Linked DNA regions of Callithrix jacchus. The protein of the gene in region 1 purifies or fractionates together with the protein of each later gene. This does not show direct contact. Links are inferred from orthologs where the notes say so. Each region holds a gene or a part of one and is shown on either strand. Other genes may lie near its edges. The genes, in order: EGLN1 and PTGES3.

What was found.
Region 2: the proteins of EGLN1 (region 1) and PTGES3 purify together in Homo sapiens (affinity purification with mass spectrometry; 5 studies listed by BioGRID and IntAct, with this or other methods). This does not show direct contact. The link is inferred for Callithrix jacchus from reciprocal best matches to the Homo sapiens genes EGLN1 and PTGES3.

What each region holds. Positions count from the first base shown.
Region 1 is NC_133520.1:53,463,192-53,467,432, forward strand, and holds the start of EGLN1 (egl nine homolog 1), read left to right. Parts: upstream 1-1,406; 5' UTR 1,407-1,817; coding exon 1,818-2,708; intron 2,709-4,241. UniProt on the Homo sapiens protein: Cellular oxygen sensor that catalyzes, under normoxic conditions, the post-translational formation of 4-hydroxyproline in hypoxia-inducible factor (HIF) alpha proteins.
Region 2 is NC_133510.1:62,979,880-62,983,688, forward strand, and holds part of PTGES3 (prostaglandin E synthase 3), read left to right. Parts: intron 1-1,751; coding exon 1,752-1,865; intron 1,866-1,994; coding exon 1,995-2,064; intron 2,065-3,809. UniProt on the Homo sapiens protein: Cytosolic prostaglandin synthase that catalyzes the oxidoreduction of prostaglandin endoperoxide H2 (PGH2) to prostaglandin E2 (PGE2).

The DNA.
Region 1 (4,241 bases):
GTGGATTTTTAGTTCGGTTTGGAATTTGAAGATGTGAGTATATTTACCTCAGTTTCCCAAATGACAAGCTGATTGAATTATTATCCTCTTCCACCTGACTGGATCCCCAGAATGCCATTTACGTATGTAGCAGACTTTTATAACAGTTTTAAATTATGTATATTTGATGAAGAGGTTTTATATTTTTGGATTCAAGCTTTATTTTTTTTAAATTCTACAATGTGGTTTATAGTAATTCCATACATCCTGCTTTTGAAATACATATTGCAGCTTCTTTAAGCTTGGAAGGCTATATCTCAAGGACTGAAGTTACAGTATATTCAAGTGATACACAAGCCTAGCACCGAATTTTCCACAGTAAGTGTTCGATAAAGACTGTTAAACTCTAAGTCACAGGCCTTTTTATTCTTAAGACAAATAACAGCAGAAACATCCTTGGCTTATTTATGGAAAGGTTTTTATGCTCTATAAAACAAAGAATTGTATCCATCAGCGTAGCACAGATTCTATTAAAAATAAATGTGAGAGTCGTTAATGTAGTAGTACTGCTCACTTACTACCAAAATTAACTTTTCAGGGATAATTCCATCAGTTTAAATTGGATATTGGAATAAGCACTCATTTGACTTGGTAGCCCAATCATGGGGGTTCGAACTCGGCGGGATTTCAAAGGTTTTAAAAATGTTTTTGATTTTAACCCTCAAATTTCATAACCTTTAAATTAGGTTGAAACGGGGCACAAGAGATTGGATTAACATCACAGTAATACTTATTTTTGTTCTTAACCATTTCACGGCTTCTTGAAATAGAGGCTGGATGGAGCAATGGAAAAAACAGCCTTGGAATCTGAGCGCCTGATTGCTGGATTCAGTCCCAGTCAGTTCTGCGTGACCTTGGGCAAGTTACTTTACTTCTCTGAATTTCCGTTTCCTCCTCTACAAAATGAGGATCACAGTAGCCACCTTGTAACCCTAACCCGAGCGCGCCTCGCACAACTCGCGCCCGCCTGCAGGAAGAGCAGCCATGATTACGCCGCCGCCGCCGCCGCTCCGCCACCCGCTCGCGGCCGGCGCCCTCCCCTAGCAGGTGTAGGCGCTGCCCGCGCGGCCCCACGCCTTTCCGCCGCTCGCGGGCCGGCCCCTCTGCGTCCCCGCGCAGGCCGCTGCGGGCTGAGGCAGCTCACCGGCCTCTGCGTCCCGGCCCCGCCCCGGGTGGACGGAGGGCGGGCGACCCGGCTCTGAGGCCGAGGTCCGGCCCCGCCAAGTGCGGAGGAGCGCAGGCGGCCCAGGCGCCGCGCCAGCGCCCAAGTGTGAGCGCGGCCCCCGCCCCTCGGCCCTCCCCCCGGCCCTCCCTCCGCCCCCTCCGCCCTCGCGCGCCGCCCGCCCGGGTCGCCGCGGGGCCGTGGTGTACGTGCAGAGCGCGCAGAGCGAGTGGCGCCCGCATGCCCTGCGCTCCTCCACAGCCTGGGCCGGGCCGCCCGGGACGCTGAGGCGGCGACGGCGGCCGAGGGGGCCGGTCTTACGCTCCCCAGGCCCGCGCGCCCGAGCCCAGGTTGCCGTTCGCCGCACAGGCCACGTTTTCTCAGCCCACGGCGGCGATGAGGCGCTAAGGCGGCCACCGGCTCTGCGCCGGAGCCTAGGACTCGGAAGCGGCCGGGCCGAGGGCGCGGGGTGCCGGCCTCCCTGAGGCGAGGGTAGCGGGTGCATGGCGCAGTAACGGCCCCGATTTCTCTCCCCGCTCCCCAGCCTCGGGCGAGGCCGTCCGGCCGCCACCCCTCCTGCTCGGGCGCAGCCGCCGCCGTTGCCGCCGCCGCCGCCATGGCCAATGACAGCGGCGGACCCGGCGGGCCGAGCCCGAGCGAGCGAGACCGGCAGTACTGCGAGCTATGCGGGAAGATGGAGAACCTGCTGCGCTGCAGCCGCTGCCGCAGCTCCTTCTACTGCTGCAAGGAGCACCAGCGTCAGGACTGGAAGAAGCACAAGCTCGTGTGCCAGGGCAGCGAGGGCGCCCTCGGCCACGGAGTGGGCCCGCACCAGCACTCCGGCCCCGCGCCGCCGGCTGCAGCGCCGCCGCCCAGGTCCGGGGCCCGGGAGGCCAGGAAGGCAGCGGCGCGCCGGGACAGCGCCTCCGGGGACGCGGCCAAGGCAAAGGCAAAGGCCAAGCCCGCGGCCGACCCCGCGGCGGCCGCGTCCCCGTCTCGCGCGGCCCCCGGCGGCCAGGCCTCGGCGGTGGCAGCGGAGGCCGAGCCCGGGAAGGAGGAGCAGCCGGCCCGCTCGTCGCTGTTCCAGGAGAAGGCGAACCTGTACCCCCCGAGCAACACGCCCGGGGATGCGCTGAGCCACAGCGGCGGCCTGCGGCCCAACGGGCAGACGAAGCCCCTGCCGGCGCTGAAACTGGCGCTCGAGTACATCGTGCCCTGCATGAACAAGCACGGCATCTGTGTGGTGGACGACTTCCTCGGCAAGGAGACCGGACAGCAGATCGGCGACGAGGTGCGCGCCCTGCACGACACCGGGAAGTTCACGGACGGGCAGCTAGTCAGCCAGAAGAGTGATTCGTCCAAGGACATCCGAGGCGATAAGATCACCTGGATCGAGGGCAAGGAGCCCGGCTGCGAAACCATTGGGCTGCTCATGAGCAGCATGGACGACCTGATCCGCCACTGTAACGGGAAGCTGGGCAGCTACAAAATCAATGGCCGGACGAAAGTAAGTGTGGGCTGCGGGTTTGCGCTGGACATGCCCTTCTCGGCGGGCAGCCCCTCTCGTGACGGTAACTGCCTAGGCTGAGGAGCAGCCTTCCTCTGTATAGAAAGGACTTTGTGTATAGCACCCCGTAAGGAAGACGGACAGAATTCGGGGTAACTGTTTGATCTGGTTAGCCGCTTTGTGTCCGCTGTTTTCCACTTACTGCCAGTCCACAGACTTCTCCGGCTAATTGCATAGTTTTCTGGCTAAACGTAGGCGCTTTAACTTTGCTACTTTCTTCTTTTCTTCCATTCCACTGTTAGTCACAATTCATTCCTTAGTGGCGTTTTAGCCACCCAGTGAGGGGGTGTTAGAGTACCACCCAAAGCAAGTCCTGATGCTGCATCTGTCTTGTGTTTGCATAAGCACTTAAATTTCCTGTGCTGTCTGAATCACTCGTCACATTTTGATTGAGAGTCAAACGCTGTGTTCAGTTAAGAATTTGCCGGCTGACCACAAAAAGGTAAATTTAAGCGTTTAGTCGAAAGACTCTCCATATTCAGGAAGAGCGTGGCTACTCCCCTCCCCCTCTTATAGCTCCTACCCTCTCCCTGTTCCTACTGTTTTGAAACCCATTACAAAAAGGGAAAAGAAGTATTTCCGTTTTCGGATCTCTCTGTGTAGGTAGGCTACATTTTTAGCATTGGTTTCCTTTATTTGCTTTGTTAATGTTATCCTTCTGTTGAAAAAGAACTGTTTTGTAGCTTCCTGGAAAAAACAACACGAAATTGGAGCAGGAGGACTTGTTTTATCCTCCCAATTTGGTGAGATCTTTTTGTTTTCTCTTTACTGTTGCGTTTTTTTCTCCACAGATTTCTTCACTTCCTACCTAGTCTATTTTCTCTTTTTCTCCCTCACGGTGCACTCTTTCTTCCTTAATACTCTCTTGCAGGTCTTATTCATTTTGCTTCTCAGATCTTGATCTTTTCTTTATATCCAGCTACTCCCAGGCCTCCCTCCTCCACCATCAGTCTCTGTCTGATTTTGTGAGTTTTGAGAGATGGACTTGGGAGAGCATCACACTTACATGTTTGTACACACATGCTGACTCTTCCCAGTGGTTTTTTTGGAGTGTGTGTGAGACCATCTGTTTTGACAGTCATTACATGTGATTCTCAGGCTGCTCGGAAGGCTGAACATAGGCAATGAGAAAAATTATAAACATGAAAATTTTGTGGGGAAAAATACAATGTGGAGTCTCATTTACGTATTGCCACTTCATTGCTGGGTGAAGGCACACATCTTAATTTCATGTAGTCTTACGAACAGTTGAATCATATTAAACTGGAAGGAAAAGGGGGATCTGATGAAATCTCAGCCTTGGTCTTTTACTAGCTTTTCATTGATACTTTTAAAAATGAACGTTGTCATGGAACACATCTGAACATAAGTCCTGAGCTCAGAGCAGGAAAGAAATTAGTTTGAGGGAACAGGGCTGTGAAGACTGACCAAAGTATATAGTTGGGACATAAGTTTAAATTGGATTCTTGAAGA
Region 2 (3,809 bases), on another chromosome or scaffold:
TTAATTTATGAACTTAGAAACTACTTTTTTACTTACCATGGTAGAACTTTGATGCCTCATTCCTCATGTATTACAAATAGATTTTTTTTTTTTTTTTTTTTTTTGGAGACAGTTTCTCTCTTGTTACCCAGACCTGGAGTACAATGGCACGATCTCGGCTCACTGCAGCCTCTGCCTTCTGGGTTCAAGCAATTCTCCTGCCTCAGCCTCCCGAGTAGCTGAGACTACAGGCGTGCACCACCATGCCCAGCTAATTTTTGTCTTTTTAGTAGAGATGGGGTTTCACTATTGGCGAGGCTGGTCTCTTTGGTCACGCTGGTTTTGAACTCCTGACCTCATGATCCGCTCGACTCAGGCTTTCTCACTGCAACCTCTGCCTCCAGGGTTAAAGCAGTTCATCTGTTTCAGCCTTCTGAATAGCTGGGATTACAGGCATCCGCCACAACGCACAGCTAATTTTTTTGTTTTTTTTTTTTTTTTTTTTGAGACAGTTTCGCTCTTGTTACCCAGGCTGGAGTACAATGGCGCAATCTCAGCTCACCGCAACCTCTGCCTCCTGGGTTCAGGCAATTCTGCTCCCTCAGCCTCCTGCGTAACTGGGATTACAGGGACGCGCCACCATGCCCAGCTAATTTTTTATATATTTTTTAGTAGAGACAGGGTTTCACCATGTTGACCAGGATGATCTCCATCTCTTGAGCTCGTGATCCATCTGCCTCGGCCTCCCAAAGTGCTGGGATTATAGGCGTGAGCCACTGTGCCTGGCCATTTTTTTGTATTTTTAATAGAGAGAAAGTGTTTCATCACGTTGGCCAGGCTGGTGTCGAACTCCTGACTTCAAATGATCCACCCGCCTCAGCCTCCAGAAGAGCTGGGGATTATAGGCGTGAGCCACCACGCCCTGCCCCATTTGTAGTTTTAATGTATTAGCAAATTTGTATAAAGGGTCAGCCATTAAATATTAGGCATTACAGGCCACAACTATTTGGGACTACAGGCCTGTGTCACCATGCCCAGCTAAGTTTTTTTCTTTTTCTTTTTCGTATTTTTAATAGAGATGGGGTTTTGGTTGCTGGCCAGGCTGGTCTCAAGCTCTGGTGGCCTCAAGTGGTCCTCCTGCCTTGGTCTCCCAAAGTGCTGGGATTACAGGCGTGAGCCACTGTACCTGGCCAAGTAATTTTTTTTATAGGACTGGATAAATTGTTTGGTTTTTAAATCCCTTCTATTATGAAATTGGAATCATTCTGAAACTAAATATTGTTAGAGCCCTATTTTTGCTTTTGAGACAAGAGTCTTGCTCTGTAGTGCAGGCTGGAGTGCAGTGACACCATCTCAGCTCACTGCAACATCCACCTCCCAGTCTGGTTCAAGCAATTCTCCTGCCTCGGCCTCCCGAGTGGCAGAGATTATAGGCACGTGCCACGGTTCGCAGCTAATTTTTGTATTTTTAGTAGAGATAGGGTTTCACCATGTTAGCCAGGCTGGTCTTGAACTCCTGACCTCGTGATCTGCCTACCTTGACCTCCCAAAGTGCTGGGGTTACAGGCATGAGCCACAGCACCTGGCCACAGTGCCCTGTTTTAACTTGGAATGTAGCCGTTAGGGTAAAACTGTAGTTAATGTAATGAACTGCCCCAAAATAATGCTATGATGGTATAGAGAAATATGTTTACTTACACAATAAATGTTTAAGGTTAGTATGTAAATGTAATCAATTCCAGCTTGACTTTCCCTACTTTATCCTTTTATAGGCAACCTGCTTCTGCAAAGTGGTACGATCGAAGGGACTATGTCTTCATTGAATTTTGTGTTGAAGACAGTAAGGATGTTAATGTAAATTTTGAAAAATCCAAACTTACATTCAGGTAAATTAAACTTCTTATCTAATGATGTAAAATAGTTATTCACACAACTGAATAACTTTGACTTGCTTGTTTTCATTGATCTTAGATTCTCTGACGAGGCTTAATTCTTTTCTTTTTTATTTTATACAGTTGTCTTGGAGGAAGTGATAATTTTAAGCATTTAAATGAAATTGATCTTTTTCACTGTATTGATCCAAATGTAAGTAGTCTTGATGCTTTAATCCAGATTTAAGTTGTGAGGAAATGGACATACTTCAAGTACTGTTTTTAGCAGTAAGCATTGGTTCTGTTGTTTTGTTTTGTGTTTGAGACAGTCTTGCTCTGTTGCCAAGCTGGAGTGCAGTGGTGCGATCTCCGCTCACTGCAACCTCCACCTCCTGGGTTCAAGCAATTTTTCTACCTCAGCCTCCTGAGTAGCTGGGACTACAGGTGCGTGCCACCATACCCAGCTAATTTTTGTATAGAGATGGGATTTTACTATGTTGGCCAGGATGGTCTTGATTAGTTGACCTCATGATCTGCCCTCCTCAGCCTCCCAGTGTGCTGGGATTACAGGCATGAGCCACCGCACTCAGTCTGTTCTTTGTTTTGAGACAGTTTCGCTGTTGCCAGGCTGGAGTGCAGTGGCACAATCTCAGCTCATTGCAACCTTCGCCTCCTGCGTTCAAGCGATTCTCCTGCCTTAGCTTGGGATTACAAGCGCCTGCCACCACACCCAGCTAATTTTTGTATTTTTAGTAGAGACGGCGTTTCACTGTGTTTACCAGGATGGTCTCTCTTGATTTCGTGATTTGCCCACCTCTGCCTCTCAAAGTGCTGGGATTACAGGCATGAGCCACTGTGCCTGACCAGTTCTGTATTTCATAACAGTTGAGGCAAACTACATATATTTATATTTTGTAGTATTTCCTCCAAAATAGGTGCCCGGGCTGTTCTGTTTTTCTTAACAGTTGAGGCAACCTATGTATATTTATGTTTTGTAGTAGTAGTTCCTCCAAAATAGGTTTCTGCATACTTTTTGTTTTTGCTGTCACTGTTTGGGCTTAGAGTAGTATCCTTGAAGCTTGTCTTGTCTGTGTGTGTGTGTGTGTTGTCTTGTTTTTGAGACAATTTTGCTCTTGTTGCCCAGGCTGGAGTGCAATGGCGCAATCTATGCTCACCACAACCTCTGCCTCCCAGGTTCAAGCGATTCTCCAGCTTTAGCCTCCTGAGTACCTGGGATTACAGGCATGCACTACCATGCCTGGCTTTATGTTGTATTTATAATAGAGACAGGTTTTCTCCATGTTGATGAGGCTGGTCTTGAATTCCTGATCTCAGGTCACCCACCTGCCTTGGTCTCCCAAAGTGCTGGGATTACAGGTTTAAGCCACCATGTCCAGCTGAGGCTTGTCTTATTTAGGAGTAGAATTGTTAGGCCAGGCACAGTAGCTCACGCTTGTAATCCCAGCACTTTGGGAGGCTGAGGCGGGCAGATCACAAGGTCAGGGGTTCAAGACCAGCCTGACCAACATTGTGAAACCCTGTTTCTACTAAAAAATACAAAAATCAGTTGGGCGTGGTGGCGTGCCCTGTAATCCTAGCTACTCAGGAGACTGAAGCAGGAGAATCACTTGAATCCAGGAGGGGCAGAGGTTGTAGTGAACTGAGATTGTGCCACTGCACTCCAGTCTGGGCAACAGAGCGAGACTCCATCTCAAAAAAAAAAAAAAAAAAAAAAAAAAAGAAGAATAGAATCTTTAAACCAATCCATGGTTATATCATTTTTACTTTAAGTTTTTAAGGTTTTATTCTATTTACTGTGTGCAGGGAAGAAAAAAATGGTACCAGGTTAAACTGGAAACTTTGTAGTTGTTTTTGTACAGATTATTTCAGTAGGAAATAGGAAAAAATAAAAAATTTAAAGAAATGTAACATAGGGGTTTCAGGCAGTTGGATAGTTTG